3 linked regions of the Callithrix jacchus genome follow. The protein of the gene in region 3 purifies or fractionates together with the protein of the main gene of each other region. This does not show direct contact. Links are inferred from orthologs where the notes say so. Each region holds a gene or a part of one and is shown on either strand. Other genes may lie near its edges. The genes, in order: PRKD1, TBL1X and HDAC5.

Region 1 (3,643 bases), on a different chromosome or scaffold from region 3:
ACTGAGTATTTCTGCGAACCCTTTTATCAACAGGTGAAACTTTGTGATTTTGGTTTTGCCCGGATCATTGGAGAGAAGTCTTTCCGGAGGTCAGTGGTGGGTACCCCAGCTTACCTGGCACCTGAGGTCTTAAGGAACAAAGGCTACAATCGGTCTCTAGATATGTGGTCTGTTGGAGTCATCATCTATGTAAGCCTAAGTGGCACATTCCCATTTAATGAAGATGAAGACATACATGACCAAATTCAGAATGCAGCTTTCATGTATCCACCAAATCCCTGGAAGGAAATCTCTCATGAAGGTAATACCTTCCATTCAAAAATGATAATGATCTAATCCTTATGTGTTTATGTTATTAATTTAAATGAATTTAATTGTAAGTTATTACTTGATAAATGCTCATTGTACAGTGTCTGCCAGAGTGGAGACACAAAGACACAAATTAATTGGGGTAGGACACATATACATAACAGAAATTAGGGATATATATATATATATATCCATATATTCATATATATATATATATTTCTTTATATATAGAAGTAAGTGAACAACCAGATAGAATGTATTTTGGTACATTTCCTTAGAACTTATAAATATTTATAACTTAATATAATGGTAATGATGAATTATTGTAAAGGCTTACTTACATGTGCCTAGTTCTTTGTTAAAAACTTTTAAATTATTATCAAGACAGGAATGTTATGACATTGATAATTGATATTTGAATGATCATATTACATGTATTAGTTTACTAAGTTCTTTGTCTACTGATGTTGTTTTTAGCATTAAAATATGTATATATTTTACATGGCCATTCCCCTGGAATTTTTAGGTTATTTCTCTGTGTTCAATATTATAACATCCTGATGTATTATTCCTATATTTATCTCTGATAGTTTCTTTAGAATAAATTACCTTGGTAATGTTGCATTGTTTAGAGCCATATTCTTACTAAGTATTTCATTCCTCTTAAATAAAACACAATTGTTTTAAAAGAAGTTACAGGGGCTTACAGGGCAGAGAAAGTGACTTATTCAGTACTTTGGAAAGGAGTTCCTCAGTTAACATTCATTGGAGTGTATTTAATTCTCATAAAAAATTTCATAAGATAGATGTTACTATTATGGCTATATTTCAAGTGAAAAAACTGAGCAAAAGCAATGACACCACTGCTCAAACTACAAAGCTAGTATATAGCAGGGGCACAATTCATACCCAGGTTGTCTGAACATACATCCTTTCACCACTAGCCCTACTTCTTTTCTAGTTTACAGGCAATATCTAGTTCTAGGTTCATTCTGTTTGTTTGAATATTCACCATGTGGAAAGGCTAGTACATTTGTAAACCTCACTTATGTGATGCCTGTTACTGCATATGTCGGTATAGAAATGGGAAAAGAGTATATGAACTGCCTAGGATAAATTAAGTTCTTAGACTGCTAATGGTATTAAATGCCAAGAGCTATCCATTATCAGAGTTTTAAGTTACCATTAGCAATAACCTTTAACATCCTCTAATTAGTTGCAAATCATAGGTAGATGGATATATCTTAAAGGAACCTGTGGCCCACAAAAGAACTATCATGTGTGCCAAAGGAATAATTAAATATTTGTCATAATTCAACAAAGATGAAAAGTAAAGTGTAATTATGTTTCTTTTCCAGGAGACAGAGTAGAGCGAATTATCAAATAACCTTGTGACCAGTACCCTTGATAGGAAACATTACATCTAAGTAGAGCTAACCATTATGCTTGATACTGCTAATCCAGAAATCCAGTAAAATAACTTGATCCTGTTATCAGAATGCAAATCTGCAGTATCACTGAAGCCAATCAGACACTTTCCTGTTGTACAGAAATTGGATGTTGGGAAATAATCTTTATGTTTTTAAACTTTTTTTTCTTGGAGTAGTGGAACAAATGATGTCCCTTTCTCTGCTTTTGTGAAAATTTGACTTACTAAGCAGCTATATAGCCTATTAAGACAAAACATATTCAGGCCAGAAATAAATGTTTATAAATTATGAACTTTTAATTATCACTAATAATAGACTCTGGAGGACTAGATATCAAAGGCTTAGGAAACAGTTTTTGGGAAATCACAATATACGTACTTGGTAGGTAATACAAAAGTAGAGGACAGAATATCAGACGTGCTTCAAAGAACTTGAATGTTAGTTGGGGAGATGAGTTATGTGACATTGGATAATATGATAATTTATTTCCTTGAATTGTTACTAGGTGGAAAATCAGGGCCTCTAAGTTCAGAGGAAAGAGAATCACCATGTACTTAACTAGTTAGAACTCTACTTTCAGAGGAGACAGAATTTAGGCCAGTCACTGAAGAAAGAAAAGAAAGAGACATAGCATTTTAGCAACAGGGAATTATGTAGGATAATTCAAAAGGCATTTATATTTGACTAGGATTTTACTTGGCTGTAGAAAGGTCTAAGCACTAAAAATTTCCTACCATTCAAATAAAGTGATATGGAGATCAACTCAGATGGGAGATAGAACCCTCACTTTTCCAAATGACTCAGTACCTCCTTATGGCTCACTCTTTCCTTGGAGGCACAGGCATTATACTGTTATGTGAACTAAAGCTCTGAATGGCAAAAAGAAAAAAAAGTTATTTAGCTGCTGATGTATGAACAGAACTCATGCTTGAATATAGAGAAAAGTTAGTTAAATTGCATCATAATATCAGTTAAGGTGTCATAAAAGTAGTTGCTGGCTCAGGTTCTATTCCATTATCTTATTGAAAACAAATAATTCCATCATTAGAAGTTATAATGGAGTTGAGACCAAATAATTTTAATTTTAAGCTTGTAGGACCTGATAAACCAGCAAAACTATTAATAGTATCTGTCACAGGGTGGTCACAACTGATATTAGATCAATTTTTAGTCTCAGGATACTTTAAACCACACCAGAAACACTGAGAATTCAGATCCGAGGAAATAAAACTCCAAGTACCTCCATGATTCTGACAAAGATGAATGGTCAACAGTCAAGTAGTTTGAGACAGAGAGTCCTATCTGCCATTGTGAGTAGTCATCCCTTACCTTCTTTGGGCTTCATTTCCTCATCTGCAAAATGGGAAATGATTCCTGCCTACATAATGAGGTTCTAACAAAAACTGACTGAGGTAAAGGTTATGAAAGGCATCTATAAAGGCAGGTGGGGGGTGAGCCAAGAATTTGCATCAGGAGGAGGACAGCAGAACACTAAGCACTTGCCTGGCTGGTAACCAAAGATTGATGGTATCATTTTAGAAACAATGTGAAGGTTTCCTTGGTGTTCTTTGGACATATTGCTAGTTGTATTTTTTCCTGGCATGAAAAAGCAAAAGAAAGTGTTGTTATAAGGTAAGATCTTAATAATATGCATACATGTGTCAGAATTATAGATTCCTTTACTATGTGTTTTTTCTGTTAGTGTAGATGTTGACTTGATACAATATAATATCTCTACATTGGGGTGGTTGTGTAGCATTGTGCTGCTTGATTCGCACAACAATCCTCTGATAAGTGATTTGCTTTAGTCTCTGCATTAGAGAGAATAAAGAAAGGTTTCAAGACCTCGAAATCAAGGATTTAGACTGGAAATCATTTGTCATTTGTCTCCATTCTATACAACT
Region 2 (4,282 bases), on a different chromosome or scaffold from region 3:
CTACATAAAAACAAAAAACAAAAAACCTCACCTCGGGTCCCCCTCCCCCCACAACCAGAACAACAAATGGTCTAGTGTTCGAGGAAGAGCAAGTGAGTTTATAGTTTATACTTCTGAGTGTACCGGGCTCTTAGCACGAAGCTTATTATGTAGTAAAGGAAGGGGCAAACTTATTTGAAAAATATTCAACAAGGCTGACCCAAGAGGTGCTGGGTAGGGGGAGCGGAGATCTGTTTAACTGAATTAAGGTCGCGAGTCGTGGGGAGTCGACATCAAGGTGGAGGGGAGGAAGGAGCGCTGGGGACTTGGGTGCACCAGGGCCAGGCAGTGTAAGCCGTTACGTCAAACACTTAGCAAGGGCCCGAGGGCTGAAGCCTAAGGTTGGGGGTGGGGGTGATGAAGCCCGCTGGCCCAGGTCCCCTAACCTCCTCCTCAGCCCCCACCCCTGAGCTCCGGCCACTCTGACGGGGTCTGAGTTTGTCCCTAAGCATTTCTGGCTCTTCCCGGGAGGTGTTTTGCAAAGGTGGAGGTTCCGCCGGAGTCCCCACTTCTTGAGGTGGGGAAAGATAACTGGGGTGTCTTTTAAAACGCCGATTTTGAGGTAGATACACCCTCGGGCAGGTGGCTGGGGTTCTGTCAGGGAAGCCGGGTTGCTTCCTTTTTGGGATGGGGGAGGGTAACACTTTAGCAGTGACCGAGGTTCCCCTGCCCGCTATAAACCGAGGGGGTGGCCGAGGTTCCTGTCCTCTCCAGGCAGTCGTGGAAAGGCTGGGTTTGGGATGGAATGAGGGTAAGCCTGGGTTCCTCTCAGTCCCACGGGGGCCACGGGGAAGGGACCGGGCCCCGGCAACTAGGGAGAGGCCCGGGTTCCCCTCACCCACCCTAGGCGTGGGGGAGCGGGGAGAGCTGGGTAGGGACGCTAGTCCCCCGACCCAGGGGCAAGGGCTGGGTTGGGACGCGGGTCTCCCACTAGGTTCAGTGGGGGAGGGGCGGGGCTGGAGTCCCTATCCTCGTGGGGGAGGGGCTGGCTCGGGACGCGGCCCCCCCGGGGCGCAGGGGCGGGGCCGGGTGGGACGCGGGGTCGCCTCCCACGGCCGCGAGGGAGGGGCCGGCGGCGGGGGCGGCCCCCTAGGCTGTCCTCCCAGCTGGAGTCCGCGCGCTCGCAGCCGCTCCCCGCGGAGGTCACTGCCCGAGCCAGTCCCTCTCGCCGTCCCGCTCCCTCCCGCCGTCCCGCCCTCTCCCGCCGCCGCCGCCGCCGCCGCCGCCGCGCCCGCCTCAGCGCCCCCACTCCGCGCTTGGGAGCGAGGAGCCGCCAGCGCCCCCGCCCCGCTGCCGCCGCCGCAGCTCTCTCCGGCCGCCATTCGCCACCGAAACTTTCCAGCGCCCGCGCCCTCTCAGGGACTCGGCGGCGGCGGGGCGGGGGCGGCCCAGGGGCGGCGCGCCGCTGCTCCAGGGCGCCGGGCCCTCTTCGGCCGCCACACGGCAGGGGCTCGGAGGCTGCCTGCTGGAGGGAGGTTCGGAGCGCAGACCGGCGCGCGGCGCCGCCACAAGTTGCGCTGCTCGCGGTGAGGTGAGTGCGCGGGGCTCGGCGGGCCGGGCGCTGGGTCCGCAAACTTCTGCGGGGAGGCGGGTTCCGTGCTGACCCTCGGGGGTCCTGCCGGAGGCTCGGGGAGCCCGACGCTCCTCCCGCCCCTGGAACTCCTGGAGGCGCAGGTCGCCAGCTGTCCCCGCGGCGCTCGGACTGGTGTGCGGCGCGCTCCCCGGAGACTGAACAATACCCCGAGGTGGCGGTTCCCCAAAGTGGGGGTAGGAGACGGAGGTCGGCTGGGGGCTCCTTTGTTTTGGGGAGGGGGAGGCGGCCGGTAAGTTTCGGGAAGCACTCCGCTTCTCCTATGGTGCCTCTTTGTCTGCCGATCCTTAGGCTTGCTGGGTTAACCTGCGCCACCGTGGGCTCCGGGGCCCGAGGTGGAGGGCGGTAGCGGGATTTCCCCCTGTTGGGGAGGGGAGCCCCATTCATCCCCGCTACGCGGGCCGGCCCGCCGGCACCCGGTTGGAAGCGCAGCTGCGCGGAGTGGGGCGAGTGGCTGGTGAGGAGGCGCGGGCTCCGCGTCTGCTCAGTTTCTGAAGCGCAGAAACTGTCAAGGAAGTCGGGAGTCCCTGTCCTCTGCCCATCTCCCCGGCCCGAGCGCACGACCGGGCTGGGGGCACCCCTGGCCCGTCGAGGGTCTGCAGAGCGCCGCCCGGGGAGAGCGCAGACCTGTTGCTGCTCCTGGGCTCTGGCGGGTCGGGTCGGGTGGGTCTCGCAGATCCGGAGCTCTAGCCTTGCTGCGGGGGACTTTATCTAAGGATGGGACCGGTGCTCGGAGTGCGGTATGGGGAGTGTGCCTTCGGGAGTCGGGGATGGCCGGATCTGTGACAACTGTGGGTCGCTGGAGCCCCGCTAGTGCGGGTAAAGGGCCTGGACTTCACGTGCATCGCCTGTGCGCGGTCATACTGGGGCCAGGGCTCGCTCGCTGCAAGGCCTCGTGTTTCCCCAGCCAGCTGCGTTGGACGTTCCACAAAGGTAGGGACCATCGTTTATTTTCGAGTCAGTCAGTGATGTTCTGGAGCAAAACCTAAAAAGAAACAGAAACCCACCCTCTATTGTATTTGCAACTGTTTCTGCTTTGCATTGTCATGTGTGGCTTGACCTGCCTTCTGGATGTTTTCCATCTCCTGACACGCCGCCGAATCCCTGGTTTAACCTGGAAGGCGACCTCCCTGCTAAGGTCCCGGGCCATGGCTTTGGTGTCGGAAAGTGGCTCTTGACCATTTTACGAAAAGTTTACAAGTCCTACCTAGAAAAGATGCAATTAGGAAAATAAAATCTAGAAAAATGTTGAGTATGACATGCTTATTTTAAAGGGTTGTCATGTCTCAGGTGTGCTGCAGATTTTTGTGGAAAGCCACCAAACTGCGTAACTCATACAAACAACGAAAGTTGTTCACCACTGGATCACCGGCTCTTAAGGCGATTCCAGCCCTTCGGAATACACACACCTGTAGGACTGACATGGAGATGTGTGGCGTAGTGCAGACACCCTCGCTTCCCCACCCGCAGGTATTTTGCCCCTTTACTGGACTCAGAGAACTTCTCCCTGCCAGTAGTTTAAAGAGGAAACAGTTTGCAAAAAATAATAACTTTATTGTAGACACACTTAGAAGTGAATGTTTCAAATTCTGGAGTTTTCCCATCAATTATATCAGTACCACTGGTTCTGTGCATCATTCTTAGTTAGAAGCTTTTTTTCACCTTTTAAGGTGATGAGCAGAGGCCATCTCCAGCAGGTCGTGAGTGTCAGGAATTCAGATTCTCTGATCCACTCCTGCTGGGTAAGAGAACACCTCCGTTAGAACCTGGGCCTGGCCCCTTCCCAGTTTTCTACAAAACTGCCTTGCAGCACTGTCCTGTGGGCCTCCAGGCCTAGCCGATCATCACAGCTTCTCTGCCCAGCCAGGCAAGACCATCCTTGCGCTGCTTTCCTGTTGCCTTGCTTTGCTTTTTATTCTCCCTTAGGAAAAACAAAAAGACCTAGTACGCTACATCCGAGAGGTTGTTAATCTTTCACTACCACATGCATTGACAAATCAGTTTCAGCCAGGAAGCAACACTAAAGGCATATTATAAACACTTTTTTTTTTAGTTGGAAAGATAAACTTTTTCCCCATAACTATTTTTAGTGAGAGGGAGGTAACTGACCTCTTGAGCAGGAGACTGCGCTCGAGTTTTTCCCACTGGTCTTGCCCCTCCACTCCCGCCCTCACTTTCTGTGGGGCTCGACCAAATGGACCACACTGGCCAGACTGGCAAACTTGAAACCTACCGGAACCCAAAGAAAGGCTGAATGTGGGAAGGGGCTGAAGGAGTCACAGGTTTCTAAAGAGCAAGCAGAGCCTAGGCTGTGAACAGGAGTTTCACATCTCCAGGGGAGAAAGGCAGCTGTTAAGGAGTCCACTCGGGCTGCTGCCTGCCTGGCCAGCGAGAGCCTGACTTCAGATGGATGTGCCACCCAAGCCGGCTTCCTTCCAGCGCGGCCATCCCCATCAAATGTTTACAGATAATCTACTGCATGCCTGAAGGTTGCAGAAGTGAATTGGAAGCTGTTAAAAATGGAATTGGAACAAATTTAAAGTTAAGATGAAAGAGAATATGTTGAGTTTTCAGAGGAAGTCGGGTACTGTTTCCTTTTCTTGCCGAGGTTTGTTCTTGGCGGATGGGATCAGAGAGATTGAGATGCGGCGT
Region 3 (4,072 bases):
CAGAATAGAGCCCAGGAATCCTGCCAGCAATCCTGGACTCCAGCCCTCCCCATGCGACATTCATTCATCCATGTGCCAGGCACTGTGCTAGGTGCTGTGCAATGGCAGCAACCAAGACAGCCCAGAGAGCAAAGGCTGTCCCTAAAATAGGGTTCCAAGATGCTGCTGGAGGTGGCAGGCAGGCGTACCCTCAAAAGCCCCTTACCCCAACCCCTTGGGAGGCCTGTGCAATTCACACTGTCCAAAGAAGCATCCCTGGACACCTGCTTTTTCAGCCCCAGGCTCTTGCATCCTGTCTGGAGACCGATCAAGAGACGGGGAGAGGGGGTGGGGAGGGAAACACCAGGCTGCCCGGGCCCTCATGGCCGTGTTTATCCGGGGTGGATTTTTTTTAACCCAAAGGTTAAAGTGTTTCTATTTGAAACATCTATTTACATTCCAGAGTCCAAAAAAAAAAAAAAAAAAAACAAGGCAGCCGAGCTCCAGGCCTATATCTGTCCCTAGCCGCGTCACAGACACAGCATCAGAGCTGCGCAGGGGGAACATTCTTAGCCCTCTCCCCGAGCCGCTGAGGTGACTCACGCCTCCCTCCTGCCAGCATGGAGCAAGCCACCACTCAGAAGGCTTGGTCCACCCCCCACATCGGCTGGTGTGGGGAGACAGGCATCTGGAGAGAGGAGGTGCCTGGGGGTCCATGCAGGGGCAGCCAGGCTTAGGGATGGGATGAGAGAGCAGGGTCCAGCCTTCGAGGTTTCTGGGGTACAGTCTGAAAAGAGGTGAGTAAACAAGCCAAGGAGGAAACTCTGGGCCAACTGCTGGCTGCTGCTAGTAGCAAGGAATGGAGGGGACAGGACAGGATGGGTGGACCTGATAAGCCACACAGGGTAGAGCTGCCCCAAGCAAATGCTCCGTGATTATTCTGCCTTCCAAGAGACCACCTTAAGTCCCGGAGGCCATGGACTAGGGGCAAGCAGGCAGGGTCTTTCGCTGACCCTGTGGACTCCAGACCAGGATAAGAACCAGCCCTCTGGGTTTATTCCTTATCCCAGGGGCCTATGGAGCTGGCTCCCAGGCATATGCCCTTACCTCACGGGACTTCATGGGTACACAGTAGAGCTGGTCCTCAAGGTTACACCCTCATCCCAGCCCCAGCCTACAGGGCTGGCCCCAGGGTAAGGCCCCTATCCCCGGGGCCTGCATGGATACCCTGCAGGGCTAGTCTCCAGGGCCATGCCCCTACGTGAGAACACTGCAGGGGTATCCCTGCTCAGGAAGATGATAGGCCATGTTCCAAAGATCTTCTGAATCCTCCCGAAACATTTATTCTCTGACACATCCAAGTCGCACTGCAACATTATCCCTGGGCAGCTCAGAGCCAAATCACAGGGACCTGCAGAGGCACACAGTTCCCACCTTCCAATTCGAAGCTTGGGATGCACTCCCACATATCCATAGGCAAAGACTCCCCATTCACACGTGCACACACATAGTCACCCACACTTGAATGCCAAGCCACTACCAGGAGGGGCCAAGCAGGCATGGGTCCAGCAGGCCCCTCCCTGGAAGAAGCATCTTGTGGTGCCGGCCTGGTGGGGAGGCTGTGCCAGAAAGGCTTGATGCTGCCGAAAGGTTGCCGGGAGTGAGGGAAGGAGTAGCCCAGCTCTGGGGGACCCCACCCCTAGCCAAGAGGCAAAAAAGGTTACTGCTGAGAGGGTGGCAGGATTAGGGGGTCCTAACCCCATCTGAGCCAGAGTAATACCTCTTCATCCTCATGACACGGGAATCAACCCAGACCTGGGGAGAGGAGCGATATCGGGAGCCAGCTAGATGCGAAGGCAGCCAAGCCCCTCAATATCCGAGCTGCCAGCCTCTGCCTAACTCCATCACAACTATACCAAGCCTCCCCAAGTGTCTGATTCTCAGGAGACTCCTGGCTGGGGACTTGGCGGAAGTTACTGGACTTGATGCTCTAGCCCTAAGAACCAAGCCAGAGGAGCCGGGGTAAGCTTTATTCCTGTGGACACCTAGCTACGCCTTCTTCCCTTGCCCAAACCTGGGGAGCGGGCAGCAAGGAGGCGGGTCACTGACCCACTTCCTCCCCTCTGACCACACTGCCAACTAGGCCAGGATCCTCCAGTAACCCCCAGCCCCTAGCAACAGATGCTGACCCTGCCAGAGGCCAAAGTGACTGGAAGTGAAGCAGCAGAGTACAGCTGCAGGGCACAGGGGAGCAGCAGGCTCTGGGCAGGGAGGGCAGGGGCCTCTCTGAGCAGGGATCCCCCAGCCCTGTGTATTCTCAGTGAAACTCTCAAGACAGATCTACACAGGATGCTATCTGCACAAGGCTCGGAGCCAGATGCTCAGCCCAGGGACAAGGATACCCAATGACAGAGGGCAGGCAGGGACACCAAGGCACTTACCTGTCACAGGGATGCTGTGCAGAGAAGTCCGAGGCAGGATTTCCAAGGATGGTTCCCGGCCTGACATCCCATCTGCTGAGAAACAGGATTCTGTCTCATAGATGGTCTGCAGCATCTCCACGAGCCCCTGAGCCTTGGGCACCAGCAGCATGCCAGGGAGGGGACCGCCAGAGGCGGAAAGCCAGCCCAAGGAAAGGTGGTCAGGTGGCCCGCACTGTGCAGGGGTTCCCTCAGGCCACTGCCAATGGGACGCGTACTGTGGGGAAGTGCCTCATCCGGCCTGGGCACTCCTGACGGCAGGAGGGGCAGGGAGGCCCAAGAGCTGCAGGCCCAGCTCTGCTCTAAAGGGGTATCCGACCACCAGCCTTTCCTTGGTTCCCGGGAGCTGGGGTATGGCTGAGCACTTGGGACAGGAAGGGGAGCTCAGCGGGCAGGCGGGCTCTCTGTGTTCCCTCCCAATCCTGGGTGACAGCTCTGGGCCGGCTCCCTGCTCCTCCTTCCCGAATGAGCCACCGCCGGCAGCTGGCAGGAGACTGAAATAGCAGTTGGGGGAGGGCCCTGTCTATAAATAGGTGGAGCATGCTCAGGGAGCTGCGGGCCGGCTGCCAGGAGGCCCCATGGGGGGGAGGCGGTTCTACCCCAGGAGGAAGCGCCAGGCGAGGGGGATGGGAACGGGGGAGGGCCTGCACTCAGGGCCAAGGCCATAGCGATAGGTGGCCAGAGGCTGGGCTGGGGAAGGGCGCTGGCTGGGGTACCCATGCATCTGGGAGCGGCTCTGACTGCTACTTTTGGCAAGCAAGCCAGGGGACAGAGACCAAGAAGCCAGACTCAAGCCTCCATCTGCCCTCTTGCCTTCCAGACCAGGTAAAGGAATAGAAAGGGTCTGGGAGAGGCTGGCAGACAGGCAACTTCCCTGGAGTTCTAACAGCCCATGGAGGTTTGCTTATTCTACCCTCCCACAAAGCTGAGGAATGGAGTGCCTCCTCAGTCCTTCAACCAGCAGAGAGACCCCCAAACACCTGCCAATGGCAGCTCCCTCCCACTCATTCTGGAGTGTCGCCTCCAGAGGCTGCTCAGCCTCAGCTTCTTTCTAGGGGGTAGGGATATTCTTCCTGGGCAGACAGGGGTTCCCTGGTCCCCTTTCCTCACCCCAAGCCTGGGAAAGCGAACCAGGGAACACCTGCCCATTCTCGCAGCACAGGTAGCTCCTCCCTATCCATGTGCCAGGTGTGGTGCTAAGAACATCACATACATCATCTCATTCTGCATGGTGACTTTGGGAGAGAGGCACAGAAGGGAAAACTGAGGCACAGGGAGATGGTCACTCACCCTGGGTCATACAGCTGCTTAGATGACAGGGCTGGGATGTCCGAGACTCAAGTCTGAGCTCGACCCACCACACCACACTGCCTCCCATTTCCCAGGGTTTCTATGAACAGGTACAATAAACCCTGTGCTCAAGTAGGAAGAGACTTGAGGTTGGTGCCTCGCTAGGAAGAGTCAGTAGTCTTTCAGCATCCAGCCATTCCCCACCAGCCAGACTCAGGCCTGGCAGCATAGGCTCTGCTCCCTGGGTCCTAGGGCTGGTGCACTGTGAGGACCCGTGCCACTCCCATGCCCTCCCCACTGCTGGCCTGCCCCTTCTCCTCAGG

The links.
Region 1: the proteins of HDAC5 (region 3) and PRKD1 purify together in Homo sapiens (affinity purification with western blotting; 4 studies listed by BioGRID, with this or other methods). This does not show direct contact. The link is inferred for Callithrix jacchus from reciprocal best matches to the Homo sapiens genes HDAC5 and PRKD1.
Region 2: the proteins of HDAC5 (region 3) and TBL1X purify together in Homo sapiens (affinity purification with mass spectrometry; 3 studies listed by BioGRID and IntAct, with this or other methods). This does not show direct contact. The link is inferred for Callithrix jacchus from reciprocal best matches to the Homo sapiens genes HDAC5 and TBL1X.

What each region holds. Positions count from the first base shown.
Region 1 is NC_133509.1:63,838,426-63,842,068, reverse strand, and holds part of PRKD1 (serine/threonine-protein kinase D1), read left to right. Parts: intron 1-33; coding exon 34-301; intron 302-3,643.
Region 2 is NC_133524.1:9,682,898-9,687,179, forward strand, and holds the start of TBL1X (F-box-like/WD repeat-containing protein TBL1X), read left to right. Parts: upstream 1-1,431; 5' UTR 1,432-1,570; intron 1,571-2,052; exon of another isoform or gene 2,053-2,563; intron 2,564-4,282. UniProt on the Homo sapiens protein: F-box-like protein involved in the recruitment of the ubiquitin/19S proteasome complex to nuclear receptor-regulated transcription units. Plays an essential role in transcription activation mediated by nuclear receptors.
Region 3 is NC_133506.1:70,958,272-70,962,343, forward strand, and holds the start of HDAC5 (histone deacetylase 5), read right to left. Parts: upstream 2,932-4,072; 5' UTR 2,572-2,931; coding exon 2,421-2,571; intron 2,002-2,420; coding exon of another isoform or gene 1,772-2,001; exon of another isoform or gene 1,639-1,771; intron 777-1,638; coding exon of another isoform or gene 724-776; exon of another isoform or gene 551-723; intron 1-550. Other genes in the region: uncharacterized protein LOC118153996, read left to right, coding at 1,772-2,001. UniProt on the Homo sapiens protein: Responsible for the deacetylation of lysine residues on the N-terminal part of the core histones (H2A, H2B, H3 and H4).